Stegostoma tigrinum: one gene and its partners. The protein of the gene in region 3 purifies or fractionates together with the protein of the main gene of each other region. This does not show direct contact. Links are inferred from orthologs where the notes say so. Each region holds a gene or a part of one and is shown on either strand. Other genes may lie near its edges. The genes, in order: pfdn1, pfdn6, pfdn4 and pdrg1.

Region 1 (7,290 bases), on a different chromosome or scaffold from region 3:
TTACCATTACTTATTAACATTAAGAGTAATTACAGAATCTTCATCTAGCCACATATTCTCAAAAGTTTTGAAGAAGAGACATGATCTCAAAGAAGCCTACAAAACACTCATGGAGATAACAGGGTGCATGCAGGTAAGATGTTCATCCTGTTTGGGGAGTCCAGAACTGCAGTACAACAAAAAAAAAAGGAAGCCATTGAGTAACAAAAAAATCATGAGTCCTGACAGTGTGGTGAATCTTTGGAATTCTCTGCCTCAAATGACTACAGAAGACCATTCATTGGTGTACATTTAAAGTTTGATACATTTCTTATTACCAATGGCAAATGGGTTATAGAGATAGTGTGGTTAAAAGGAATGAAAGCATTCTATCGACTATGATCGTAATAAATGACCAAGCAGTCTCAGAGAGCTATTCCTGTACCTATATAAAGGACCGATTTTAAATCTGTCTACTTTCTCAATCCCTTCACTTAAAGTTTCACTAACTATAATTTTCAAGCATGCAACTTTATCATTCCTTTAAAAACCTGTAATAGCCTTATATAAAGCACTTTTGAAGTTCTTAATTTCACATACAACTCTGAACTTCCAGCTTTTCAAAAGAAATTCATAAGAAATTAAATATGATTCCACAGTTCATTTCTTTTCTCATGAATTTCTAGAAACGAACACAAAAGCCTAAGTTTTTTTTAGCAGTCAATACCAATGACGGAACCATGTGTAAATTAACTCGTGACAGAGTTTCAGTTTGGTGAACAGCAGTGTGCAAACCAAACACTTCAAATGTAATCCTGCTAAAGTCCTGGATGCCAAGATAGAAAGGCAAGGGTCTAATTATTTTAATCTTGCATTCAAATTAAACAGCATATCAATAATTATAGTAGTAATAGTAATACAGCTGGACAATGTCTTTCAAAAAAAATGTTCCTGCAATAAAATAGTCTTATCGACACAACAACCACAAAGTCAAGCTACCATAGGTGGGATGCCATTCATGAGAGGTTTAATCCTTCCAACATGCTCAAGCCAGGGGTTAAATGTAAGAGTTTGCCTGGTGAACCGTGCTGAGTTTCCCAACCCCCAGATGAATGAGAACAGTGAGCGACAGAAACAGCATCTGGCTGTAAAATCAACTGCCAAATCCCAAAGGATGACTGACATTAAAGTACAGTGACCCAACATAATATGGGAAAAAGCTGAAAGAAAAGAAGATAGTCCATCAACGATTGGTTGTGCCAATACAATAGCATTAATGCATCCAGATGACACAAGCAACAGACTTTATTGTCGTTGCAACCTCAATGTAATCCAGTCTGTGCCCACAAATTTTACATTTACTACATAAACTGTTTATTCTAACACACATCTGATAGTGGAAGTAACTCACAATGCTACAGTTCACTAAATAGGTCCCCCAGGCACAGTGGTTCACATCCACTTGTTCCATCACAGGCACTAGCTTCAGTAAATTCAGTCTACAAACGCATAATAGCAACTCGACATGGTTATACTAACAGTCTGGCACCCATAAACCTCCACCACATGAGCAAAAGAAGCAGTGAAGCATTATTGCCAAATCACTCATAATCCCAGTGCAAATAAAATATCACTGTTACTGGTTATATCTTGGAATTCTCTATATAACACCACAGTGAATGTACCATTCACTGCAGCAGTTCAAGGTGAAAGCCACCATTTTCTCAAGCAACTAGGGATGAACAGTGAATGCAGCCTTCTGGGTGACACCCTCATCCTCAGTTTTTTTTTTAAAAAAGAACTGCTGAATAACTGATTATTGTTGCATCGTCCTCTGAGCACAAAGGTCTTTGAACTGTCTACTTTAAAAAGTGAGTTTGCCGAATTAACCATGCTGAGTGTGATAGAAATTGACAAGAAAATAAAAATTCTGTTAATTCAGATAATAAACAATATTACAAACACTTTAGGAAATTAAAATCTGAACATTTATAGGAACACTTAAAACAGACGACCCGTGAACAAACCCGTCCAAAATGATCGGTATTTGTCCAGATACCGATCGTACTGACTTACTTGTTGTGGTGCGCTTCCAAAATTTTAAAATATTAAGGCGTAAACCATAATCGTTAAGACAACAGGTAAGATCTGACATGAAGGAAAATAAATGCATTTCAACAGTACACAAAAGTGATAACATCTTGTACTCTTTAACACTCTAGAAATATCTCACTCCAAAATAAGTCAGAAATCGTGTTATTGCTGTCTATGGATTATACACATGGCAAATTTTCAACTCAACAGGGTGGGCAAGACTTCCAGCGCAGCCAGGCCTGCACCAACCACTCACTTTTAATAACCACCGAAAACAAATCAATGCTAAAACCCTCCCACAACATGTGCCTTTTATTCTGAGAAAGTTAAAGCCAGCGATCGGTCATCAAAAAAGGATAAAAACGCGAAGCAATGAGACCCCTGTGTCTTCCTGTACCTTCTTCAACTCCAGATCCACGGGGGCTGCCATCTTTAGAGGATGAGCGCATGCGCAGACCGCTCCTTACCGGCGGCGAGGAGGAGGAGCAGCGAGAGAGTTCGATGTGCACTGTCATGTGGTTTTTATTCTTGGGTCCCGTCTAATATCACACAACAATGCTCGATTGAAGCGGGTTTCCGATTTCATTTTATCAAATCAAAGTGAAAATACTGCGGATGCTGGAAACCTGAAGTTAAAAAACAAACAGCAGCGACGTGGAACGGAGATTGCTGGAAAAGCTCAGCGGGTCTGGCAGCATCCGTGTGGAGAGAAGTCAGGGCTAAGGTTTCAGGTCGAGCGACCCTTCCTCTGAGCTCCGGCAGCGTCTGTGGATGCAGGAACAGAGCTAACGTTTCGAGTCAGAAGTCAGTGTTTAGGAAGTTCCTGAGTTCTGAAGAAAAGTCACATCGGACTCGAAACGCTACCGCTGTTCTCCGTCCACAGAAGTAGCCGAATGGTGTATTCACGTTCTCATAGCCCCTTCATGTGCACAGTCAGGCTTGTGTGCCGGAACTGGCGCAGTTCTGAGGTCTCCACAATCTTTGGACACGTTGTTTGCTTTAAGTTTCTCTACATTTTGTAAACAACTGGTTCATGTTGATTAGGTAGTTGAGAAGATACGATTTGACCCTGGTTTTCTGTCAGGTTAACCTTCTAAGGGAAGTGACGCTTTGTTGAAGTAATTGGTATCTCTTGTTCCCTAGTGAAAGCACCACCTTTTTTTCAATATAGAATCACTTCCTGTTATAACATCATCCAGATGAAGCAGCATTATTTCACCAATTTAAACATTGGGAAGCCAGTTTTTTTTTTAACATGATGGGTTGTGGTATCACTGACCCGGTCAACATTTATTGTCCATTTGTTATTGCACTTTATACTGAGTGGCTTGCTTGCCCTTTTCAGAGGGCAGTTAAAAGGGTAATCACATTCCAATGGGATCTGGAATCACACATAGGCCAAAACAGGTAAGGATGGCAGATTTCCCTCAACCTAAAGAACATTAATGAGCAAGGTGAGTTTTTGCAACAATCAAGGACTATTTCATGATCCTGTGTTTTGAGGAAGGGTCACTGGACCCGAAAAATTAACTCTGTTTTCTCCTCCACGGGTGCTGCCGGACCTGCTGAGCTTTTCCGGCAACTTTGTTTTTGTTCATGATTCTTACCTGAGACTAGTTTTCAATTCAAGATTTATTAATTGTACTTAAGTTCCATCGGTTTCTGTAGTGGCGATTCAAACAAATGTCCCCAGTGCATTACATACTGAGGAAGAACCACTGGGCCCGAAACATTAACACTGAGTTTTCTTCACAGATGCTGCTGGACCTACTGAGCTTTTCCAGCAACTTCTGTTTTGTTCCTGATTTATGGCATCCACAGTTCTTTCAGCTTTTATTTCCCCAGTGCGTTGCCATGGGCCTCTGGTTTACTAGACCATTGACATTACTGCAATCCTACCACGTCTTCAAGATACATGAGCAGCATAACGTTGCTCCTCCACCCAATCACTTCCTGAGTTTGCATAAGATATCTGCTGCCCTAGTACTTTACAGCAGGAAAAGATAGCGGTGTAGCGATAATGTTAGTGTTTGTGAATCCTGATGGGGAGGTTCCATCTGGTTTGCCGTATGAAATGTTTTTGGCAGCCTTTGCATGATGACTACCAGATTACTCCACCCCCTAGGAATCATGGTAGCCCACAAACCGGCAGCTACACTGCGACAGCTACTGATAATAAAGAAAGGGTCTCACAACCACAACTAACAGAACCAATGTTATTTACAAGATACCATGCAAAGACTGCCAAAAACGTTATACGGAGCAAACCAGAAGGAAACTAACCATCAGGATTCACAAACACCTATTAACTACCAAGAGACATAACCAACTATCACTCATTTCAGTACACCTGGACAAAGAAGGATACCAATTCGATTGGGACAACATAGCCAAGCTAGGACAAGCCAACCAAAGACATGCATGAGAATTTCTGGAGGCCTGGCACTCAAACCAGGACTCATTAACAATGATGTAGAGCTGGACCCCATATACCAACCACTAAGAACCAAATCCGGAAGTGATGTCACTCATACCAAGAAAGTGGGACATATAAATAGTAAGCGGGAGAGAACACCGACGTTGCACCAGAGGCACACTGATGATGTTACCCAGTATGATGACAAAACGTCTGCAAACAAACTTACCAGCTGAACAAGAAAGTCGTCGACTGCATTACACCCTCTCTGCATAATGTTTTCCTTGACTCATACATGGAATGTGAGCTTTGCTGGCTGAAACAACACTTATTGTCCATTCCTAAGTATTCTTGAGAAGGCGGTAATGAGCTGTCTCCTTGCCTTGCTCTCAGATGGTTATGAGTGTTTGGAACTCTCCATTCATAACCAAAAAATTTTCAAATGTCATCACCACATTTAAAATTCGTTTTTCAGTGTAGTGTGATATGAATGTTGTCAGTATTTTGCAACCTTTAACTGGGCATAAGTGAGTCCAACCTCATTACTATAACTTTATAATACAAGACTAATTGTTATTCAGAGTTCATGTTACCAGGGTTCACTTCCTGTGATAGCTCATGTCAAAGCTGGTAGGAGCAAAGGAAAGATTTACTCTAATTTCTAACTTGTTGTGACATTGTTCAATTTTACTGCTCTAGTTCAGGATTTCAGGACAGGATGAACAACCACTTTGTTCATGAAGAAAGTAAGCAGTTTCTTACTATATATCATTCTGGAAAAACCCCAGTTGGCCTCAATCAAGCAGAATGTTCTTGTGCCAGCAAAACATTTCCTATGAATTTGGTGAACGTATTCAGAGAAATCCAATCTACAGCAGTAAAGTTAATTACAGCTGACCTTTATTTTGGGAGTTAGAAGTCATCACAGGCTGCGTTGACAAAAAAATATCTAAAGTCGCATTCACAGTACAACATCAGCATTCTACTAAGCAGTTTTCACTGTTCAAGTATTACTGAAGTTGTACTGTAAATTTAAAGATCGGATTAATTTGATTTGTCACCGCAGATGGTGCAACTACGGCACAATGTCAAACTGCATTTTAAAAATCTTTTGAAACCTACCGCTACATGCATTTAATTTAAATGTTTAGACAATGCATTCTCTGTGGCCTGTACACAAAACATTTTCCTTCTAATTGCTTGTGGAGGAGGTCTCTATTGCATTTAAGAATCAAAGTTCCAGCTAGACCACATGAAAAGTATATTGTCTCACTGCAAGCCACGAAGAAATGAGTAGGTGTAGCACAAATGTCATATTTGACACGACAAAATTAAGAGGTTATCACAGACCGTCTTGAAGATTCCAAAATATGAAAAGCCCTAAGTTATGCACAAAGAGAACAGCCATCGGGCAGAACATTCCAATTGCTGGCATTCATATTCATAAGTAATTTGTATCAAAAACATCTTTCTTCTATCTTTTGCCTTCTTTTCTTAGTGACATTAACTCAGTCCGTAATACAGTTCACTGCATACCTGCAGCCTTCCAACATTTTACTTAAGTGCCCATTCTTTTATGACTTTTGAAGGCTTCAGGCTCTGACAACATTCTGGCAGTAGTGCTGAATATTTATAGTAAAGAGCTTGGTCTGCTCCTAGCTGAGCTGTTCCATGTAGAGCTGCCAGACTGGCATTTACCTTACACTGTGAAAAATGGTCTAGGTGTGTCCTGTACACAAAAATGACAATTCCAACCTGACCAATTAACGCTCCATTAGTTTACTTTAAATCATCAGCAAAGTGCCGGAAGGTGTCATCAACAGTGCTATTAGGCAGCACCTGCTTAGCAATAAACTGCTCACTGACACAGTTTGGGTTATGCCGGGGCCACGTGGCTCCTGGCCTTATTACAGCCTTGACTCAAACATGGACAAAAGGCCTGACCAGAGGTGAAGTGAGACCATTTGCTTTTGATATGAAAGTAGCATTTTATCAAGTGTGAAATCAAGGAGCCATAGCAAAACTAGTGTCAATGGGAATCAGAAGGAAAATTCTCCACTGAATGGAATCATCCCTGGTAGAAAGGAAGATAGCTGGGGTTGTCGACGATCAGTCATCTAAACTTCGGGAATTCTGTGCAGAAGTTCCTCAGGTTAATGTCCCAGGTGCAACTATCATCAGCTGCTGCATCAATGATCTTCCCTCCATCATAAGATCAGTAGTGGGGGGTGTTCACTGATGATTCCATAATGTTCAGCACCGGTCACAACTCCTCAGGTACTGATGCAGCCCATGCCCAAATGCAGCAAGATGTAGACAATATCCAGGTATGGGACTGACATGTGGCAAGAAACATGTATGCCACACAATTGCCAGGCAATGACCACCCCCAACAGGAGAGAAGTTGACCATTGACATTCAATGGCACCACCATCACTGAACCCTACTGTCAACAAACTGGGGCCCCATTTATCAGATAATGATCTGAACTGGCCATATAAATAATGTGGGTAACTACAGGTTCAGAGGCTAGTAACCCTGCAGAGAGTAACTCAACTCCTGACTCTAATTGGCATCCATGGTCAACAAGGCACAAGTCAGGATTGTGATGGTGTGACTGCCCACTTAATTGGATGAGTGCAGCTCCAATAACTCAAGGAGCATGACACCATCCAGCAAAACTGCCTGCTTGATTAGCACCACATCCACCACCAGACACATTGCAGAAATTCTCAAAGATAGCTTCGAATATACCTTTCAAAGACATGGCCATTATCATCAAGAAGGACAAGGGTAGCAGA
Region 2 (7,673 bases), on a different chromosome or scaffold from region 3:
GAAGTGGGAGGAGTCAAAAGAGAAGTTGTTGAGTGTGAGGACGAGTTCAGCTAGGCGGATGAGAGTGTCGGTGGAGGGGGCCTGGTCGGGCCTGCGGGACAGGAAGAAGCGGAGGGCCTTGAGGCCACCTCCATGCGGAATGCAGGTGTACAGGGACTGGACGTCCATGGTGAATATGAGGTGTTGGGGGCCAGGGAATTGGAAGTCCTGGAGGAGGTGGAGGGCGTGGGTGGTGTCACGGACGTAGGTGGCGAGTTCCTGGACCAAAGGGGAGAAAATGGAGTCCAGATAGGTGAGATGAGTTCGGCGGGGCAGGTACAGGCTGAGACGATGGGTCGACCAGGGCAGGCAGGTTTGTGGATTTTGGGAAGGAGATAGAAACGGGCCGTGCGGGGTTGGGGAACAATGAGGTTGGAGGCTGTGGGTGGGAGGTCCCCTGAGGTGATGAGGTCATGAATGGTGTTGGAGATGATGGTTTGGTTCTCGGGGGTGGGGTCATGATCGAGGAGGCGGTAGGAGGTGGTGTCGGAGAGTTGGCGTCTGGCCTCGGCGATGTAGAGGTCAGTGCGCCATACTACCACTGCGCCACCCTTGTCTGCGGGTTTGATGGTGAGGTTGGGGTTGGAGCGGAGGGAGCGGAGGGCTGCCCGTTCTGCGGGGGAGAGGTTGGAGTGGATGAGAGGGGTGGAGAGGTTGAGGCGGTTAATGTCTCGACGGCAGTTGGAGATGAAGAGGTCGAGGGAGGGTAGGAGGCCTGGGGGTGGTGTCCAGGAGGAGGACTTGTGTTGGAAGCGGGTGAAGGGGTCAGTGGAGGGAGGGTTGGGTTCCCGGTTGAAGAAGTAGGCATGGAGGTGAAGACGGTGGAAAAACTGCTCTATGTCCGACCGTGACTGGTATTCGTTGATGTGTGGTTGTAGGGGGACAAAGGTGAGCCCCTTGCTTAGGGCTGACCGTTCGTCCTCAGTCAGTGGGAGGTCTGGGGGGAAGGTGAAGATGCGGCAGGGCTCAGTGTGGCTGTCTCCTCTGGGGTTGCAGGCTGTGGAGGTTGTGGGCGGAGCGATGAGGCCGTCGGCTGTGGGCGGGGTTCCGTCAGCCATGGGCGGGGTTCTGTCAGCCATGGGCGGGGTTTCGACCAGGCCCCCTCCACCGACACCCTCATCCGCCTAGCTGAACTCGTCCTCACACTCAACAACTTCTCTTTTGACTCCTCCCACTTCCTACAGACTAAGGGGGTGGTCATGGGCACCCGCATGGCCCCCAGCTATGCCTGCCTCTTTGTAGGTTACGTGGAACAGTCCCTCTTCTGCACCTACACAGGCCCCAAACCCCACCTCTTCCTCCGGTACATTGATGACTGTATCGGCGCCGCCTCTTGCTCCCCAGAGGAGCTTGAACAGTTCATCCACTTCACCAACATCTTCCACCCCAACCTTCAGTTCACCTGGGCCCTCTCCAGCACATCCCTCACCTTCCTGGACCTCTCAGTCTCCATCTCAGGCAACCAGCTTGTAACTGATGTCCATTTCAAGCCCACCGACTCCCACAGCTACCTAGAATACAGCTCCTCCCACCCACCCTCCTGCAAAAATTCCATCCCCTATTCCCAATCCTCCGCCTCCGCCGCATCTGCTCCCACGATAAGACATTCCACTCCCGCACATCCCAGATGTCCAAGTTCTTCAAGGACCGCAACTTTCCCCCCACGGTGATCGAGAACGCCCTTGACCGCGTCTCCCGCGACACATCCCTCACACCCCGCCCCTGCCACAACCGCCCCAAGAGGATCCCCCTCGTTCTCACACACCACCCCACCAACCTCCGGATACAACGCATCATCCTCCGACACTTCCGCCATATACAATCCGACCCCACCACCCAAGACATTTTTCCATCCCCACCCCTGTCTGCTTTCCGGAGAGACCACTCTCTCCGTGACTCCCTTGTCCGCTCCACACTGCCCTCCAACCCCACCACACCCGGCACCTTCCCCTGCAACCGCAGGAAATGCTACACTTGTCCCCACACCTCCTCCCTCACCCCTATCCCAGGCCCCATGATGACATTCCACATTAAGCAGAGGTTCACCTACACATCTGTCAATGTGGTATACTGCATCCACTGTACCCGGTGCGGCTTCCTCTACATTGGGGAAACCAAGCAGAGGCTTGGAGACCGCTTTGCAGAACACCTCCGCTCAGTTCGTAACATACAACTGCACCTCCCAGTCGCAAACCATTTCCACTCCCCCTCCCATTCTCTTGATGACATGTCCAACATGGGCCTCCTGCACTGCCACAATGATGCCACCCGAAGGTTGCAGGAACAGCAACTCATTCCGCTTGGGAACCCTGCAGCCTAATGGTATCAATGTGGACTTCACCAGTTTCAAAATCTCCCCTTCCCCCACCGCATCCCAAAACCAGCCCAGTTCATCCCCTCCCCCCACTGCACCACACAACCAGCCCAGCTCTTCCCCTCCACCCACTGCATCCCAAAACCAGTCCAACCTGTCTCTGCCTCCCTAACCGGTTCTTCCTCTCACCCATCCCTTCCTCCCACCCCGAACCGCACCTCCATCTCCTACCTACTAACCTCATCCCACCTCCTTGACCTGTCCGTCTTCCCTGGACTGACCTATCCCCTCCCTACCTCCCCACCTACACTCTCTCCACCTATCTTCTTTACTCTCCATCTTCGGTCCGCCTCCCCCTCTCTCCCTATTTATTCCAGAACCCTCACCCCATCCCCCTCTCTGATGAAGGGTCTAGGCCCGAAACGTCAGCTTTTGTGCTCCTGAGATGCTGCTTGTCCTGCTGTGTTCATCCAGCCCCACACTTTATTATCTTGGATTCTCCTGCATCTGCAGTTCCCATTATCTCTGTCTACCTTTCTGTAGCGCCTGGTACTTCTCCAGCTCCTGCTGCAGCTTCCTCTGGATCCCGTCCGCCATTTTTCACCGAACTCTGACCCCCGCCGCCGTGCGACTGACGTCTCGACGCCTGACCCCGCCCCTGACGCTGACATCACCCTTTCCCCGCTGCCGGCTAAGAACATCACCCTGACCCCGCGCCCGGCACAGACATCACTCTGACCCCGCCCCCGGCTGAACATCACCCTGACCCCGCGATAATAAAATGTGAGGCTGGATGAACACAGCAGGCCAAGCAGCATCTCAGGAGCACAAAAGCTGACGTCTCTCTGATGAAGGGTCTAGGCCCGAAACGTCAGCTTTTGTGCTCCTGAGATGCTGCTTGACCTGCTGTGTTCATCCAGCCTCACATTTTATTATCTTGGAATCTCCAGCATCTGCAGTTCCCATTAACCCTGACCCCGCGCCCGGCACAGACATCACTCTGACCCCGCCCCCGGCTGAACGTCACCCTGACCCCGCCCTCGGCTCTACCGTCACCCTGACCCCGCCCCCGACGCTGACATCACCCTTTCCCCGCGCCCGGCACGGACATCACCCTGACCCCGCCCCCGGCTCAACGTCACCCTGACCCCGCCCTCGGCTGAAACGTCACCCTGACCCCGCCCCCGGCTCGAACGTCGCCCTGACCCCGCCCCCCAGTGCATCCCTTTACACCGCCCCCTGCTGTTAGCCACTGACAGCCCCCAGTAATAATTACTCACCCTCCCGGCCTGATCATTACCAGCTCCTTTGCCTGTCCAGCTACTCTCTCTCTTTGGGCTCTATCCCCCCCTGCTCCCCCCGCCACCCTGTCTTCTGCATATAAACTAACATGTTCTTGGCCACCATCAGTTCTGTGGGAGGGTGGACCCGAAGCGTTAACTCTGATTTCTCTCCACAGATGCTGCCAGACCTGCTGAGCTTTTCCACCAACATCTGCTTTTATTTCCTGTCGGGTTTGCCCGGGAATCCTGTATGTTCCGATAAGGTCACCTCTCGTTCCAAGCTCCGATCAGTAGGGGCTCAAACTACCCAACGTCTCCTCAACCCAGGGTCAGACGTGTGAACCTTATCTGGGGCTGTCTCCAGTGGCAAGACCCTGTGAACCATGGCAGCTCCACACCGCCTTCAGGCAAAGCTCCTGCAGAACCCACTGATTGACTGATTGATTTGTTGTCACGTGTGCCTGAGTACAGTGAAAAGCCTTGTTTCTTAGCAGTACCAGCTAGATTGTAGTAAGCAAAGGGTGTACAGATCTAACAACATTTCAACCAACTGGATTCCAAAGAGCATCTCTGCCGCTGGATCCTGGTCTCCCAACTCCGTGATGGTCAGCCCTCATCGAATCAGAGAACCTTGGTTGCAGAAAAAGGGCCTATCGAGCCTGTAACTCTCTGTTTTCTATGAGTTGGTCAATCCTCTATTCATGCTCACATCACCATTGTCAGCAACTACTCGCTATCAGATTTGGTGGGGGTGGTGTGTGTCTGATTGTCCCCGTAAGAAATTCTGTGTCACTGGTCATGGGTCTGTGGTTCCTTGTGTGGCCAATGGGCCTGATCCTAGGGTTGCATCTCCAAATATACATTTGGCAGGTGTTTCCAGGAGATGGGATTGGCCTTTGGCATTTCTTTCTTCAGCTCCTTTTCTGTATTTCCGCTTACCTACATGTGCTTTCTGAGGATTGTGTCCCTTCACATAGGAGTTTCCTCCATTCAGTTTCTTCTGAATGAGGGTCTTCCACATGATAACATTTATGTTGCATTTCTTGAGGCATCTTGGGAAGTCTTTGAAATGCTTCCTTTGCCCTCCTCTTGTTCGTGTGCCTTTCTTGAACTGCGTGAAGATGATTTACTGTAGTAGTCGAAACTCAGACTTCCTAAGTAAGTGGCCAGCCCAGCGGAGTTGGTTTTGGATGACCATGGCCTCTGGTGCTGTTAGCTGCTTCAAGGACATTCATGTTAGTACGTCTGTCCTCAAAATACACAGAATCAATCTCAAACAGTGTTGGCGGTGCTTCTCAAAAGCTTTGAGAGTCTACACATAGTCGACTCTGAGCCATTATAGAAAAGTTAGAAGGGTGATTGCCTTAAATATCTCTTGGTATCAGTATGGATGTCATGGTCATCGAAGACTCTAATCCTTAGATGTGCCAAGGCGATACTCACAGATTGGATGTGGTGTTGGATCGCCGTATCAATGTCAGCCTTAGATGTGACTTAGCTTTCCAAGTAAAGGAAATGTTCCATTTTGATACAATTTTTCCATTGATCTAAATGGTGGGATGGACCAGAATTTTGCCTTGGGAAGGGCTGCTAGGAGACTTTTGAGTCTCCTAAAGGTTGACGCTGACACCAATTCATTGGTATGATTCCACTAAGACATTACGAGAGGCTTGAAAATTCTCTTCCGAGACAGCAGAGATGAGATTGTCGTCTTCATGCTGAAGTTCGACAAGCAAGTTGTAATATTTTCAACAGACAATAGGTGCTGGAGTAGGCCATTCGGCCCTTCGAGCCAGCACCACCATTCATTATGATCATGGCTGATCACCCAGTTTGGTGTCATATCCTTCTTAAATTTCAACTGACTGAGGTTGTCTATCCTGTAGACAATGTCCGCATTACTGAGAAGTTTGTTCTTAATAAGGTGAAGATTGGTAATGATGAAGATGAAGAAAATGGCAGCAGTGATGATAGACAGTAGGAACTGCAGATGCTGGAGAATCCGAGATAACAAGGTGTAGAGCTGGATGAACACAGCAGGCCAAGCAGCATCTTAGGAGCAGGAAAGCTGACGTTTCAGGCCTGATGAAGGGTCTAGGCCTGAAACGTCAGCTTTCCTGCTCCTATGATGCTGCTTGGCCTGCTGTGTTCATCCAGCTCCACACCTTGTTATCTAGCAGTGATGATATCCTGTTTGACTTCGAAGGCCACTTTTGGAATACAGCGTTTGATTCTGGTCTCCCTGGTACAGGGATGATATTGTAAAACTGGGAAGGGTTCAGAAAAGATTTAGAAGGCTGTTGGACAGCACGATGGTTCACTGGTTAGCGCTGCTGCCTCACAGCTCCAGGGACACAGGTTCGACCCCACCCTCGGGCGACTGTCTGTGTGGAGTTTGCACATTCTCCCCGTGTCTGTGTGGGTTTCCTCTGGGTGCTCTGGTCTCCTCCCACAGTCCAAAGATGTGCAAACTAGCTGGATTGGCCATGCTAAATTACCTTGTAGTGCCAAGGATGTGTAGATTAGGTGGATTAGCCACAGGAAATGTAGATTTACAGGGGTAGGATAGTGGAATGGGTCTGGGTCAGATGCTCTTTGGAGGTTCAGTGTGGAATTATTGGGCCAAATGGCTTTTTTCCACACTGTAGGGATTCCATGGATTTGCAGGGTTGGAGGGTTTGAGCTTTAGGGAGAGGGTGAATAGGGTGGGCCTACTTTCCCTGGAACTGAGGGGTGACCTTATAGAGGTTTATAAAATTATGAGGGGCATGAATAGGGTGAATAGAGAGGGTGAATATCGAAGAGCATATAGGGTTAAGGTGAGATGGGAAATATTTAAAAGGGAGCTGAGGGGTAACTTTTTCCCACAGAGGGAGGTGCGTGTATGGAATGAGCTGCCAGAGGAAGTGGTGGGGGCTGGTACAGTTACAACATTTAACAGGCACCTGGATGGGTATATGGATAGGAAGGGTTTGGGGGGATAGGGGCCAAATGCTGGGGAAAGGGATTGGATTAATGTAGAAAATCTGGCTGGCATGGATGGGTTGGATGGAAGGATCTGTTTCCGTGCTGTATCGCACTATGACTCCATTCTCTCAGGTTACCATCAGTGGGGACTGTTTCTCACATCTTGTTGTGGAGGAGACAGAGGATGTTGATGAACTTCACTGGACAGTGTCTTTCTGAACAGTTCCCCATGAATGTAGCGTCCCCAGCACCGAGGGTGCGTCTACCTCATCAAGCACTCTCTGCTTCTTCTCCTGTCCTGCTCAAGGAATTCTAATCTATCTGACAGAGCATCATTACACCTTTCATGAAACCATGTGTTCTGCACAGTCATATTATTCAATGCTAAATGCTCTGCTGTTTATTATCAGCTGGAACATTTTCTCCATTTGGAGTACAAATGGGAAGTGCTGGAGAAACTCAGCAGGTCCGGTAGAATTCAGACAGAGAGAAAAACACAGAGTTGACATTTCGGGTCCAGTGAACCTTCGCCTGAGCTGACAGAGCTGGGGAATGGTGGCACTTATGTCGGGGGATGGGAGTCAAGTATAGAATAAAGTGAATCAGCGTTCCCCCTTCTGCTCCTCTGTCTTATAGTCTTTTCTTCATAGTCTGGCATTTGTGTGGTGTGAATGTCACTTCTTGCTTCTCATTCCAGGCCTTGTTGCACTTGGACACGGACTGTTTCAGTATCTGAGGAGCAGCTGAACATTGTATAATCGTCAGCGAACATCCCCACTTCTGACCTTATGATGGAGGGAAGGTCATTGATGAAGATGGTTGGGCCGAGGACACTGCCCTGAGGAACTCCTGCAGAGATGTCCTGGAACTGAGATGACTGACCCCCAACAACCACCTTCCTCAGTGTCAGGTCTGACTCCAACCACCGGAGAGTTTGTCCCCGATACCCATTGATTCCAGTTTTGCTCAGGCTTCGTGATGCCACACCTGGTCGAATGCAGCCTTGATGTTAGGGGCTGTCACTCTCACCTCCCCTCTGGAGTTCAGCTCTTTTGTCCATGTGTGAACCA
Region 3 (7,804 bases):
CAATTTCCCTCACAACAAAATGTAACATTCTGTTGATCCTGATCACTTATTGTACCTGCATACTAACTTTCTATAATTCATGTACTACAACACACAGATCTCTCTGCTTTTAAGAGCACTAAAGTCTCTCACCATTGAGATAAGATGATTATTTTGTAGTTATTTCTGCAAAACTGTTTATTTTGGTACTTTCCCACATTATATTCCATTTGCCAGATCTTTGCCAATTCACTTATCTATATCCCTTTATAGGCTCATGTCCTTTTCAAAATTCACTTTCCTGATTTTATTTATTTATTGTTGCATGTGCGTCATTACAAAATACAGTGAAAAGTGTTGTATAGTGTCACCACTCCACAGCTCCAACTTAAAATACGGAAAAATAAACCAAACATAGAACATAAAAGAAGTAGAAAGATGAAGAAATAAAGAAAAGATATTTAATTTTACGGTCCATCTTGTTAAGTGTTCCACGAAAGGCCATGGCCCTGTTGGCAATGTGTGAGTCTCCTTCGTTGCGTCTCTGCTGCTCGAATGAAAGTTGCCACTCTTGGCACCAATTTGCATCCAGTGATGCTCTTGTCACCATAAGTCCTCAACGGGCCTTGCCAAGGCAGACGCCATTAATGCTGCTGAGTACCACCAGCCCAAAATCGACTCCACCGCCGTCAGGATTGTAGCCAGTAGGCCTGAACTCGCCTCTGCTGCTGCCACCGCCTCCACGAATGTGGGCTGGATGCATACACCGCCAGGAACTCAAACTCACCTCCACCACAGCAGCAATGAGTCACCACTAGGACCACCTTGTCAGAAACCCAAACTCACCTCTGAAGACGCCACATAAGTCCGTGCTGCTGGGCCCACTCGCCACCACCGATGGATGCTGTTACCATGACTGAATTCATCCCAAGAGGTAAGTGAAATAAAAAGGGAAAACAAAAACAACAAGAGGGGGATAAAAGAAAAGCAAACAGAGTAGATGAGCCCTGGACTAAGAAGCCCTACTCCACTGAAGAATGTCTTTCCTGCTTTTGAGTCAACAGTAAACTTAGTTACCATACCTTTGATCTGTTCATCCAAATCATTAATATAACATGTAAAGAAATGAGACCCAAGCACCAGCCCATTTGGTTCAGCATTTGTGACATCCTGCTACCCTGAAAAAAGACTCATTTATTGTAACTCTCTACTTCCCATTAGCCAGCCAATCTTCTATCCATGCATATATTACTGCCAAGGGCTTTTGTTTTTCCCAATAACATTTGATGTGGCATCTTATTAAATGCCTTCTGGAAATGTAAGTACAATACTTTCACTGGTTCCCCTTTACTCAGAGCTGGTACTTCAGATATTGTCTAAGCAACCCATATAGAGATGTTACTACATACCTCTGGAGCAGGTAGGACTTGACCCAGGCCCATAGCTCAGACTTAGAGATTCTACAACTGCAGCACAAGAACCCTAAAATAATTCTTGAAAGAACTCAAATAAATTGGTTAAACATGATCTCCCTTTGACAAACCCATGTTGGCTCTGCCTGATATCCTAAACAACTTATCATAGGATAAGTTCAAGTTTCTTATAATAGCTGCTATTATTACCAATGTTTTGTAAAGTTTCATCATTATTTCCTTGCTTTTATAATGATGCCTCTACTTTGAAAGCACTGCATGTTATTTACCTATAAAACCAATTTCTTAACCAACCTGCCCCTTTCAACAATGAGTGAATGAATGATTGATGATTTATAGTCCCTTGTACTCCACAGTCAATAATAATAATACAGTAAAACACAGTGAAACAGATCAAACGTCACCACATTCCAGCATCAATAAAAAGATAAAGCTGAAAGAAAGTCTATCTTCATTCCAATGCCTCCACCAGAAGTCCTGAGCCTGCTGGCCAACGACTTCTGTCCCAGACCCACCAACATCAGAGATTACATCAGTTCATTGCTAGGCCAATGGGCTGTTGACACCAAGTCCTGTGACAGGACCACAGCTGTCTTGCAAACAGGAACCCCTAGCACCACTGCCTCTGCAGCCACGCCATTAACCAGAAGACCCGGGCTCTGCTGCTAGGCAAAACTGGAAGCATATATTCCTTCAGGTCTCTCAAGGCCCTTTTGGATGTTAATAGTTTGGTTAGTATTGCCTCTTCATTCTGCTAAAGTGCATAACTCTACAGCTTTGAATTTTATCTGCAACTTGTCCAATATGCTAAACAAGTTTGAGAAACTGAGAATGGACTTGAAGGCTTGTGATGCTATGTTGAAGTTAAATACCACGTGGAGGTACATTTCAATCACTTTTCTCCAACGCATTTGCTTTCACGTTTGAGTTCACAGTTAGATGACACGGCTGCTAATATTTGGCACAAATACGTATTGATTTCCCTGCACCAGTTGGGCTTCAGCAAGACGAATGAACCTGAACTCAGAGTATTTGGGCTCAAAGGCTTAAGGTAAACTCTCAATTGTAAATAGGTTGACATTTGACATAAATACTGCTCGTTGGAACACGTACACCTTGAGGCGACCAGACAGGTTGCCATATACAGAAATCAGATAATACCTTCAAATGTATATACGTAACTTGTCCCAGCATAAATACATAGGGACCCATAGAGAAAGAATGCCCTGTACCTGCTATCTCTCTCTCTCGCCTGTTTACTCGTGCTTCACTCTCACATACTGCTTCACTTTTTCTTTCTTTTTTAAAAATCCTTTCAATCTCTCTCTTTCACACACACTTTCTGTATCATTCACCCTCTCTTTCACGCTTTCTCTCACACACACACACTCACCGCTTTCTTCATGGTAGCTGCCATCTTTGCGGACTCTTCCACCCACGTGTTCACCGAAACCGATCCAAACCCCTGTCCCGCTCTCTACCACCAGCCCGTGCAACACACACTCCGTTCCCAGAAGTAAAACATTCCTCTCGTTAAAATAACGGCGGCGCTAAATTTCTCGGAGAAACTCAACATTTACCCGTATCAAAACTGTGGTACCTTCCAGTTAAAGGGATCATCGCTTTTAAAGGGCACGTCGCGGTTCTCTGCCGATATAAAAGTGCAACTGTTCCCAGATAACAAAGTGCGGGGCTGGATGAGCATAGCAGGCCCAGGAGCATCTACGGAGCACGAAAGCTGACGTTTCGGACCTAGACCCTTCATCAGAAAAGCAGAAAATGCATCATTGAACACAGAACAGTTACAGTACGGTACAGGCCCAGCAGTAAGAAAACAAAAAACGAAGAAATGCTGGAAAAGCTCATCGTGTCTGTGGAGAGAAATCAGAATGAACGATTCAAGTCCAGGGACCCTTATTCAGAAGTCAACAGCAAGAATTGGTCTTAGTGAACACTGTTCCAATTATATAATATCAATTCTAAAACATATAGAAAAAACATTCAGAGAAGCCAGAAGGTGTTTTCATATACATGTATATACAGCAAGGGGAAAGTAATTAGCAATTAGATCCTTAAGAAGTAGTAGCAGAATGTAGCTATTGAACCTCTCCAGTCTGCTCTACCATTCAGTTTGATTACAAATGATCAAACACTCCTCATATCCATTTTCCTGCCCTTTCCCCATAGCCTTTGGTCGCTGTATTGATAAGAATCAATCTACCTTGGCCTTAAGTATACACCAGGACTCTGCCCCCACAGTTCTCTGCAGCAAGATGTTCCCAAAGATTCACTACCCTCAGAGTGAAAAAAACCTCCTCATCTTAACTTTCATTGAAGACTTTATTTGGAGACGGTTCTTGTGCTAGCCCCAGAAATATAAGATGCCATCTGATCTCAAGATATGAGGTAAGTAAAAGAAAGCCGATAGGAAAAAGTAACAAGAAAAGTGTAGGTGATGTGGTGTCCCAATGGTTAGCACAGTGCCAGGGACCTGGGTTTGATTCCAGCCTAAGGTGACTATGTGGAGTTTGCACATTTTCCCTGTGTCTGCGTGGGTTTCTGCCAGGTGCTCCAGTTTCCTCCCAAAGATGTTTAGGCTAAGTTGCCCATAGTGTTCAGGGGTGAATAAGTTAGGTGTGTTAGCTGCACGGTTATAGGGAAAGGGTAGAGTGATGCTGTTTAGAGGGTTAGTATGGGCTTGTTGGGCCAAAGTGCCTGTTCCCACACTGGGAATTTGTCCTATTAAACTGAACTGCCTCCAATGAAATATATATTGTCTTAGATGAGAGGACTAAAAGTACAGATAAAATCATTTCAATGATAGAGGAGATAACAAGAGATAAGCAAGCAGTTAAGACTTTATAATGCAGTAAATAATTAGGCTTTGACTCCTTTGTAAAAGTTATGTATTGAACTTCACCTTAGGCAGCTATTAAGTGGGATACATGCAACAAGTCAGACAGGTTTGTCGAGGAAAAGTGGTTTTAATTGTGGGTTTTACCTTTCCATAACATGATAAGTTGTTGGTGCAGAATTAAGCCATTCAGCCCGTGGAGTCCTGAGCAGCATTCAATCATGGCTGATGTGTTTCTCCACTCCATTCTCCTGCCTTCTGCTCATAACACTTGATCCCCTTACTAATCAAGAACCTTTCCATCTCTGTCTAAAAGTCACTCAATGATTTGGGCTCTGCAGCCTGATGTAGCAATGATTTCCAGATTAACTACCCTCTAACTGAATAAATTCTTCCCTAACACAGTTATAAACGGTCATCCCTTCACTCTGAGGACCTTCACTCAGGTCCTAGTCTCTCCTACTTGTGAAAACATCTTCTCCACATTGACTTAATCCAGGCTTCTCAGCATTCTGTAAATTTCAATCCAAATCCCCTCATCCTTCTAAACTACATCAAGTACAAATCTAGTGTCTGCAACTGCTCCTCATATTACAATCCCTTCATCCCCAGGATCATTCCCATAAACCACCTCTGGACCCCTTCCAAGGCTAGCACATCCTTCCTTAGATATTGGGCCCAAAACTGTTCACAGTTTTCGAAATACAGTCTGACCACAGCCTCAGTAGTACATCCCTGTCTTGTGTTCCAGTCCTCTTGAAATGAATACTAACATTGCTTTTGCCTTCCTAATTGCCAACTGACGATGCATGTTAACCTTAAGAGAATCTTGAACTAGGACTCACAAGACCTACAGATACCTGTCTTCTGCCTTTTTTTCTTAAACAGGGGTATTACATTAATTATTTTCATTCCTCTAGCACCCCCCCTGACTCTAGTGATTCCTGAAAGAGCTCACTAATGTTTCCAAAATCTCCTCCGCTATCTCCTTCAGAACTCTGGGGTGTAGTCCATCTGGTCTGGATGATTTATCCACCTTCAGACCTTTCAGCTTTCCCAGCACCTTCTCCTTAGTGGCCACTACACTCACCTCTGCTTCTGACTCTCGCAATTCTGGTGTGCTGCTTGTGTCTTCCACTGTGAAAACTGATTCAAAGAACTTGCACAATTCGTCTGCAACTTCTTTGTTCTATATTATGACTTCTTAAGCCTCATTTTCCATCCTTTCTTACAAGCTTTTTCTATATCCTGATTTATTTTTATTTTGATTGGGATAAATAGATAGATGCATCTGAAAGGGTTAATAATGCGGAAAGCCGTTACTGGCTGTTATATGTCATATGGAATTGTGGAAAGAACAAATTAGGATCTTGAAAGAGTGAATCCTAAAATCTAGTCCACCCCAAAGTCTCTATAACAATGTTGTTCACTTCGATGTAAACAGCTAGTTGCTAATATGCAAAAAAACTATTTTTTTTATACTAGACTCTTCTAGTTATGCCAAGAAGTGGATCTCCTTGTCCATGATGGATAAAATTAGCCCTGTGGTTTCATACATTTCAACAGGATGGTGGCAGCAACTTTCATTATGAGCAGCAGCTCATACAGCATAATGAGCTGGCACGGCTATATAGCAAGCATCAATCAGAAACATAGTGAATTTCTTGTTTGTACTGACAATAGTTTTTTTTGTGGCAATCTGGTGCAGAACAAACTTAAGCACAAAAACATTAAATTTAGAAATGTGTAATGAGTCAAGTTCAGATTAAATATCCATTTAATAATACTAATAATAAAACATTGGGATCAAGTCCATGGAATCCCTGTCTTGAGATCAAATTACAACAATATTCTTTCAAAGAAGCCTAAGCCAATAGCAAGAAACAGTAGAATTACTGATGAACAGATTACATTTCTTTCATTGGCTGGCACCAGCAGTGGTCAAAGTAATGTGCTGCTTTATCATAACTGCAATTTTTGTCTTCTTACTTGGCAGCCCACTCACCTTTCATTACAAGATTCTCAGTGGTTGCAGTAATCTTTGTTTTTATTCCAGATCTTCACAACTGGAGTATTTGACTTCCATTAACAAACAAAACAGATTTGAACTACCACGATAAATCAAAGGTCGTTTCTTGAATTAAAAGGGCTATGTTTTGATGATATGACTCATGATTTCAATGCACAGCTCAGTAACATTTGGGCAACAAACATGCAAAGAGAGCCATGCTTGCACAAGAAATGTGATCCAGCTGACTATATCTGTGCTTATATAATATATCCACTGCCTGATTCACTGTACAGTAGTATGTCTGCACAACCTTACCATCATGAGGTAAATGCCTGTAGCTTATAGGTGACTATCAGAGGATGAGGAGGAGGAAGAGATCAACTTAGCAGACACAATAAGGGTTAATTGTGCATTGCGATTCCTGTTTCCATTTTCTGGGACTAAGTTATTTAGTCCACAGCATTTTAATAAAATTACATTCTTCCAACACATTTGGAGAATAAAGCCGGTTTAAAGATGAACATCAACCAAAAAAGTCGTTAGAAGAAGGTTGAGAGGTGACTTAATTGAAACATATAAAATAATCAAAGGGTTAGATAGGGTGGATAGGGAGAGCCTTTTTCCTGGGATGGTGACGGCGAGCATGAGGGGGCATAGCTTTAAATTGAGGGGTGAAAGATATAGGACAGATGTCAGAGGTAGTTTCTTTACTCAGAGAGTAGTAAGGGAATGGAATGCTTTGCCTGCAACGGTAGTAGATTCGCCAACTTTAGGTACATTTAAGTCGTCATTGGATAAGCATATGGACGTACATGGAATAGTGTAGGTTAGATGGGCTTCAGATCGGTATGACAGGTCGGCACAACATCGAGGGCCGAAGGGCCTGTACTGTGCTGTAATGTTCTATGTTCAAAGCAACTTAATAAAGGCTAGGATTATAAGACTACAAGGAATAGGACCAGGAACAAAGTAGGCTATTCAGCCCTTCAAGTCTGCTGCACCATCCGATAGGATCATTTTTAAACAACATTCCTTGCATCCACTTACCTGAATTCTCAGAATTTTCTACGACTTTCCTCTCTCAACCTTTTGAATAGCCAATGGCAACATGAAATTGTTCCATATTTCCTGAGTTCTCCCTTCAACTGCTTGTTTTGTTCTGAGCACATAATTGCAACTTCCCACCAACCCCACTACAGTTCCCATATTGTGCTTTCCAACTGACATAATGATTATCACCGTCAGATCTAATCTCAGAAGAAAAGCTTTCTTGTTGTGATGTATAAAATGCTGATGGTAGGCACGTGTGTGTATGAACTTTAGCATTGACTTTCAAGTAACTCAGCAGAAGTGCCGGCACCCCACAACTTGTAGTGAAACGACAATATTAATGGAAACGTACATCTGACAGGTTTGTGGAATTTAGAATAGTCTGTATAATATCAGGGGGCCTTCTCATGCTTAGGACACACTCACACAAAGTACTGCTCTTTCGCTGTACTTCCCAGAGGGAAACCAAACTGGTAA
Region 4 (7,404 bases), about 11 Mb from region 3:
GTGAAGAGAAATTAGAATCATCATTTCAAATCCAGTGATACTTCTTCAGAACATCCTTTTAGATATGTCCCTTCTCACCTTAAACTTATGCCCTCTAGTTTTGGAAAGCCCCAGTCTAGGGAAAAACCTTGTCTACTCACACTATCATGATTTTATGAACCTTTATAACGTCACCCCTCAACCTCTGATGTTCCAGGGAAAGTAGCCTCAGCCTATTCAGCCTCTTCCTATAGCTCAAACCCTCCAGCCCTGGCAAGAAGCTTGTAAATCTTTTCTAAACCCTTTCAAGTTTGACAACATCTTACCTATAGCAGGGAGACTAGAATTGCAGGCAGTATTCCAATAGCGGCTAACCAATGCCCTATACAGCCACATGACTTTCCAAATCCTATACTCAATGCATTGACCAATAAAGGCAACCACATCAAACGCCACATTCACTATCCCATCTACCTGTGACTCCACTTTCAAGAACTATGAAACATGACTCCAAAGTCTCTTTGCTCAACAACACTCGCCAGGACCTTACCACTTAGTTTGTAACCCCTGCCCAACTTGCCTTTCCAAACTCCTCACATTTATCTAAATTAAACTGTACCTGCTGCTCCTTATCCCACCAGCCCATCTGATCAAGATTCCATCGTACTCCCAGGTAACCTTCTTCAGTGTACACCACGTATTTTGGCATCATCTGCAAATTTAATAACCATGCCTACGTTCACATCCAAATCATTCATACAAATGACAAAAAGCAGTGGACTCAGCACTGATCCTTGTGGCACACCACTGGTTACTGGCCTCCAGTTTGAAAAGCAACCCTCCACCACCACCCACTGTCCTCTACCTTTGAGCCAGTTCTGTATCCAAATGGCTAGTTCTTCCTGCATTCCATATGATCTAACACTGTTAGCCAGCCTACGATGTAAAACTTTGTTGAACGTCTTAATGAAGTCCACATAGATCATGTTCACCACTCTGCCTTCATCATTCCTGTTCTTTACTTCTTCAAAAAAAATTCAATCAAGTTAGGTTAGACACACTTTCCACACACAAAGCCATGTTAAACATCCTAATCAGTCCTTGCCTATCCAAATACATCTAAATCCTGCTCCTCTGTGTTTCTTCTCACTGATCTATAGCTCCCTGACTTTTCCTTACCACCTTCTTCAAATAGCTAATCTCCAGTCTTCCAACACCTCATCTGAGGCTATTCATGATATAAATATCTCAGAAAGGGGCCCAGCAATCACTTCTCTAGCTTCCCAAAATGTTCTACGGTACATCTGGTCAGGTCCTGGGGATTTAGCCACCTTTACGCTGGAGCAGTTCAAGAACAGGTTGGTCTCATGGCCAAGTTGAGTTTGGTCAGGCCATGATAGGAGACAGGAGAGAAGGTGGGGAAGGAAGAAATAACAGGGCTTGGGTATGGAAGAGCATCTGTTCCAGTTTGTCTCAAAGAAAGAAAAAGTGGCAGAGGTAGGTGATCAGATGATCTCAAACTTAGTGATGAAATATCCATAAATTTGTGGTAATCACTGCAGTTGAAAGCTGCGGAAACTGGTTACAGTAGAGGAAAAAGCCAGGTGTTATCTATTATCTCCAAGATTATCCTGGAGTAAGCAACTTTCAGAAAACAGCAGGACCAGATAGGAGCTTATCTGGTCCAGCTTCATTTAGCGGTAAACGACTAAACTAGGTTTCTGCCAAATCCTTTCAAATGCTCATGCCTCAGAACATAAGATACAGGAACAGAATTAGGCCACTCGGCCCACAGAGTCTGCTCAGTGATTTGATCATGGCTGATATATTTCTCACCATTCTCCTGCTTTCTCACTATAACCCTTGATCCCCTTAACAATCAAGAACCTAGCTATTTGTCTTAAATACACTCTATGATTTGGCCATCACAACCTTCTGCAGAAGTGAATTCCACAGATTAAATAAATCTCTGGCTGAAGAAATCCTCCTCATTTCAGTTCAAGAGTGTGCGTTAGAGTCCTAGTCTACTCCTACTAGTGGAAACACCTTCTCCATGTTCAGTCTTTCCAGACTTCTCAGCATTCTACATGTTTCAATAAAATTCACATGTCATCGTTCTAATCAATTGAGTTCAGACCACTCTTCACATAACAAGCCTTTCATCTCTTGGATCATTCTTGGAAACTTCCTCTGGGCCCCTCCAATGCCAGCACATCCTTAGATTGCAGGCCCTCAACTGTTAACAATATTACAAATGTGGTCTCACTAGGGCCCCACACAGCCTCAACAGTACATCTCTGCTCTTCCAGAAGTAGAAAGGTTTGCAACTACCCTTACAAGACCCTCATTTAGGAAGGGTAGAAATTAGTCAAGGTTGCTCCCATTATCCAATGCATTATGTTTTTCTGGTGAGAAATATTTCTCTAAGTCCTTGACCCTTTTACTCTGATACTTGAGTTGAGTAATCTATTGACATGGTGCATCTTTCTATCTATCTTAACATTTCTTTTTTAATATTTTGTCATTAAAAATGGTAACCAGAACATGGCAACTTAAACACTTCTCACCTGTATTTTCCCAAATACAAGTGACAACAAATTACTATACTACACAGACTGCTAGCATTGCATTAGCCTTCCTAACTGCAAATTGAACCTACATGGTAACCTTAAGAAAATCCTGAACTAGGTCTAAGTCCCTGGGTAGGCTGACATTTAACACAAACACATTTGATGATGGCCCTATACCCGGCAGGGACACTTGGTGCCAGGTCCAGTAGTAAGCGCAGTATAGGCATGGTCAACAACGAACGTTTCAGCGCCGACGATCCACGCCAACCCAACCCGAAACACAGGCCGCCATTGTACCTGCTGTTTATCAGCCAGCAAACTCTCCGCCAGCTCCTCCACCTCAGTCAGATAGTTCACCACCTCCTCCTCCGGCTTCCGCGCCATCTTCACCCTGAACCAACTTCTAACCGTCTCCGCCCGAGCTGTCAATCAACAGAGCTCCACCCGTTTCATTGGCGCTGCCCAGTTCCCCGTGTGATTGGTGAATATACTGCCAATCAACGGTATCTTTTGTGACGAGACTCAACCGCGCAGCATCCTGGGAATTGAAGTCCTTTCTGGGCTTCTTCCAAACGATCCAGCCCACTATAATAATAAAATGTGAAGCTGGATGAACACAGCAGGCCAAGCAGCATCTCAGGAGCACAAAAGCTGACGTTTCGGGCCTAGACCCTTCATCAGAGAGGGGGATGGGGAGAGGGAGCTGGAATAAATAGGGAGAGAGGGGGAGGCGGACCGAAGATGGAGAGTAAAGAAGATAGGTGGAGAGAGTATAGGTGGGGAGGTAGGGAGGGGATAGGTCAGTCCAGGGAAGACGGACAGGTCAAGGAGGTGGGATGAGGCCCAGTTCGTCCCCTCCCCCCACTGCACGACACAACCAGCCCAGCTCTTCCCCCCCACCTACTGCATCCCAAAACCAGTCCAACCTGTCTCTGCCTCCCTAACCGGTTCTTCCTCTCACCCATCCCTTCCTCCCACACCAAGCCGCACCCCCAGCTACCTACTAACCTCATCCCACCTCCTTGACCTGTCCGTCTTCCCTGGACTGACCTGTCCCCTCCCTACCTCCCCACCTATACTCTCTCCACCTATCTTCTTTACTCTCCATCTTCGGTCCGCCTCCCCCTCTCTCCCTATTTATTCCAGCTCCCTCTCCCCATCCCCCTCTCTGATGAAGGGTCTAGGCCTGAAACGTCAGCTTTTGTGCTCCTGAGATGCTGCTTGGCCTGCTGTGTTCATCCAGCCTCACATTTTATTATCTTGGAATTCTCCAGCATCTGCAGTTCCCATTATCTCTGATCCAGCCCACTATTTAGGTTCAGTCCTTTTCTCCTTTTCTGTTCTAAGTGTTTCTCTGGCTTCCTCTTCGTCACTTTAACCATCCTATGTGGCAGTACCTTCCTCGTTTTGACCACTCTCTCTGGATGAAAAAGTGAATCCTGAATTCTTACACGCAGAGAACGCTGGAGAAATTATAGCAACATTGTTAACGTTTGAAGTCCAGCACTGGAGGGTTTGAGTTATAAGTAGAGGCTGGAACTTTATTTCTCCCTGGCCAAAGGAGGTTAAGTGGTGGCCTTATAGAGGTTTATAAAATCGTAAGGTGCATTGATAGGGTGAATAGCCAAGGTCTTTTCACCAGGTAGAGGAGTCCAAAAATAGGGGGCAAACGTCTAAGATGAGAGAGGAAAGATTCAAAAGGGACCTGACGGGCAACTATTCCACACAGAGGGTGCTGCAGATTTGGAACGGGCTGTCAGAGGAACTGGCATGCAAAATTACAACATTTAAAAGACGTTTGAACAGGTATATGGATAGGAAAGGTTTAGAGGAATACAGACCTGACATAAGCAAATGGGACTAGTTCAATCTAGGAACCTGGTGAACATGGACGAGTTGGGCTGAAGGGTCTGTTTCTGTGCTGTATGACTCTAAGATTCTAACCTTATTTAATTTATTTGGATGATCATACATTCTGCTGCAACTGGAGTTTATCATCTCTATGACTTCCCTTTCATAACTTAAAAACCTCAAGGTCTTTTTTCTCGCGGAAGAAAATCTACACATTCAATGACTGCTGACAGATATAAATGCTCAGCTCTGGTATTATTTGTGTAAATCTTTTTAACATTTTATTCAGTGTCTGTAAATCCTTTGTATGACATTACCTCAGTTCAGGTGTTACACTTGTTAATCTTTATTTGCCTTTATATGCTTGGTACCTTTATATTATTTTTATAATATGGAAAGCAGAACTGTTCACAGTATTCCCAATCGCAATTTAACTAAATTTCAACAAATCTTCATAAAGAATGTTATATCTCTGCTTTTCAATTTTATCCCTTATGAAACAAACTCCTGTGCTTGGTTTGTGCTGTTGTGGATTTATTAATCTGTATTAATAATGTCAAAAATGTGTCTGTCTATAACTCCAAAGCCTCTGCTCTCCAATCCAGTGAACACTCTTTTCTTGTTTCCAGGCAATATGTACTCTCTCTATTCCTCATCCTAAAAGATGCTGTCTTATACTTATCAATGTTCAATAAGGGTTTCAAATAACCTTTCCAACTTTTCAATATTATACCTCTTGAAATAAAGACTCATGTTTGATTTTCTTCTTTTATCACCTTGCTAACCTATGGCCTAACTTTAGTGATTTGTGCATTTGTAATTTTGTTATTATTCATTAATGGGATGAGGGCATTCGCTGGCTAGGCAGCATTCATTGCCCATCCCTAATTGCCCAGAGAGCAGTTCAGAGTCAACCACATTGCTGTGGGTCTGGAATCACATGACCGGACCAGGTAAGGATAGTAGAGATAATAGGAACTGCAGATGCTGGAGATTCCGTGATAACAAAGTTTGGAGCTGGATGAAGACAGCAGGCCAAGCAGCATCTTAGGAGCAGGAAAGCTGACGTTTCAGGCCTAGGAGGGCAGTTTTCTTCCCTAAAGGACATCTTGAACCAGTTGGGTTTTCAATGACAATCTGCAATTAGATTCCTAATTCTAGATATTTTTATTGAATTCAAATTCCACCATCTGCCATGGTGAGATTTGAACTTGGGTCCCTAGAACATTATCTGGGTGTCTGGAGAAACATTCCAGGGATAAATACCACTAGACCATTGCCTCCCCCAGACTGACATGTTCAATTCTTCCTACCAGGCTTTGGAAGGAATGCATCTGGATAAAGTATGAAGTTTTTGTCTCCTTATTTAAGAAACCTGTCAGCATTATACTAGAAGCAATTCTGATAAGAAAACCCATTCAACTCAGATCTGGGATGAGGTGTCACCATATAAGGAAAGGTTGAACTCTGTCAGAGGCGTCCATAGGAGTTTAGAAAACCGAGAGGTAATCTTATTGAAATAGCTAACATCCTAAGGGAACTTAACAGGTGGATTCTGAATGGATATTTCCCTGTGTCAGAGAGAACTAGGGGACGTGTTTCCAAAGATGGAGATGAAGAGGAACTTTTATAAAATACTTGAGCATTATGGGCATGTGAAACTCTTCCCTATAGAATGGTGGAGGCTGGATCTTTTGAACATTTTTAAGGCCAAGGTGGAAACATTCTTAAGAGCAAAAGAATTAAATGGTTTTGGGAGCAAACAGTTAAGGGGAATTAGGGCAACAATCAGATCAGTCATGATCTTGTAAAATGACAAAACAGATTGAGGGCCCTAATCCTGACTAACTTGCATTTTCTGATGTATGCTTGTGTTGTTGCATCTCACACTTATCTGTGCTAACCTTCATTTGTTAATCATATATCTATTCTTCAAGTTCCTTTATTTCATTGCAGTCCCCCTTTAGTTTAACTACACTGCTTAATTTGGTGTACAATTACAAATATAAGGTATTATCCTTTGCCTGTTTCATTCTGCAGTTGTAAAAGCCTTAGCGAGAACCATATCTTGAGTGTTATATGGAAAGATTGATTTGGTCCATACTGCTTAGAATGTAGAATTATGAGAAGTGATCCATTAAAACATACGCAATCTTAAAATGAACTGATATGATAGCTGCTGAAATGATTTTTCTCTGACTTGGATGTGTCTACATAGCTTTCAAATAAGGGGTGGGACAATTAAGACTGAGATCAGGAGAAATGTATTCCTTCAAAGGGTTATTAATCTTTGAAATTCTTTACCCCAAGGAGGATGTGTGCTTAGTCCAAGATTCGTCAGAGATCCATAGATTACTGTGTACTCAAGGAATCGAAGGATATTGGAAGAGTATGGGAGATGGAATATGAATAAGTAGATCATCCATGATCGTAGTCAATAGCACAGCTGGCTCGAGAGGCTGAAGTAATCTACTCCGGTTCCAGTTTCTTAAATTGTTATGTTTAGCTCATAGTACGTGCTGCAAGGCGACTACATCTCCCAGAGTGCACAGGTACGGACACTTTATAAAAGCTGTGGTCGAAGGGGGCGCTTCGCTAATGTGAGCCGGGAGCTGCAGAGCAGTGTCTCGCTAATAGTTGCAGAGCTGTATCCTCACAGCCAGCCCTCCGCAGCATTGACACCCTTATTCAACAAACAAAAACCGAGCTTTACAACTGTCTGCAAACACCCCGTTCGCTGCAGCATATATAAAGAGATCAACCGTTCTAAATTCTTCTTGTAGTTGATCTTGGAGTATCTCCCAGAAGAAACCAGCGTCCCCTAAAAACAGCAGGAGCAACAATGAGGGAAATTCTGAACATCCAGGCTGGACAATGCGGGAACCAGATCGGAGCCAAGGTAAGAAATCCGCCATCAACAATATCCAAATCGTTTCCGTTCATAAAAATACACAATGCACATCATTTCTGTCAATCGAAACGATACTCGAGTCCGTATTTTATA

What was found.
Region 1: the proteins of pfdn4 (region 3) and pfdn1 purify together in Homo sapiens (affinity purification with mass spectrometry; 5 studies listed by BioGRID and IntAct, counting the BioPlex papers as one, with this or other methods). This does not show direct contact. The link is inferred for Stegostoma tigrinum from reciprocal best matches to the Homo sapiens genes PFDN4 and PFDN1.
Region 2: the proteins of pfdn4 (region 3) and pfdn6 purify together in Homo sapiens (affinity purification with mass spectrometry; 6 studies listed by BioGRID and IntAct, counting the BioPlex papers as one, with this or other methods). This does not show direct contact. The link is inferred for Stegostoma tigrinum from reciprocal best matches to the Homo sapiens genes PFDN4 and PFDN6.
Region 4: the proteins of pfdn4 (region 3) and pdrg1 purify together in Homo sapiens (co-immunoprecipitation; 3 studies listed by BioGRID and IntAct, counting the BioPlex papers as one, with this or other methods). This does not show direct contact. The link is inferred for Stegostoma tigrinum from reciprocal best matches to the Homo sapiens genes PFDN4 and PDRG1.

Annotation. Positions count from the first base shown.
Region 1 is NC_081366.1:38,410,659-38,417,948, reverse strand, and holds the start of pfdn1 (prefoldin subunit 1), read right to left. Parts: upstream 3,011-7,290; 5' UTR 2,504-3,010; coding exon 2,471-2,503; intron 1-2,470. UniProt on the Homo sapiens protein: Binds specifically to cytosolic chaperonin (c-CPN) and transfers target proteins to it. Binds to nascent polypeptide chain and promotes folding in an environment in which there are many competing pathways for nonnative proteins.
Region 2 is NC_081387.1:28,276,645-28,284,317, forward strand, and holds the start of pfdn6 (prefoldin subunit 6), read right to left. Parts: upstream 3,022-7,673; 5' UTR 2,951-3,021; coding exon 2,887-2,950; intron 1-2,886. UniProt on the Homo sapiens protein: Binds specifically to cytosolic chaperonin (c-CPN) and transfers target proteins to it. Binds to nascent polypeptide chain and promotes folding in an environment in which there are many competing pathways for nonnative proteins.
Region 3 is NC_081372.1:44,346,045-44,353,848, reverse strand, and holds the start of pfdn4 (prefoldin subunit 4), read right to left. Parts: upstream 3,001-7,804; 5' UTR 2,830-3,000; coding exon of another isoform or gene 2,806-2,829; intron 1-2,805. UniProt on the Homo sapiens protein: Binds specifically to cytosolic chaperonin (c-CPN) and transfers target proteins to it. Binds to nascent polypeptide chain and promotes folding in an environment in which there are many competing pathways for nonnative proteins.
Region 4 is NC_081372.1:55,170,702-55,178,105, reverse strand, and holds the start of pdrg1 (p53 and DNA damage-regulated protein 1), read right to left. Parts: upstream 3,003-7,404; 5' UTR 2,934-3,002; coding exon 2,847-2,933; intron 1-2,846. Other genes in the region: tubulin beta chain-like, read left to right, coding at 7,243-7,299. UniProt on the Homo sapiens protein: May play a role in chaperone-mediated protein folding.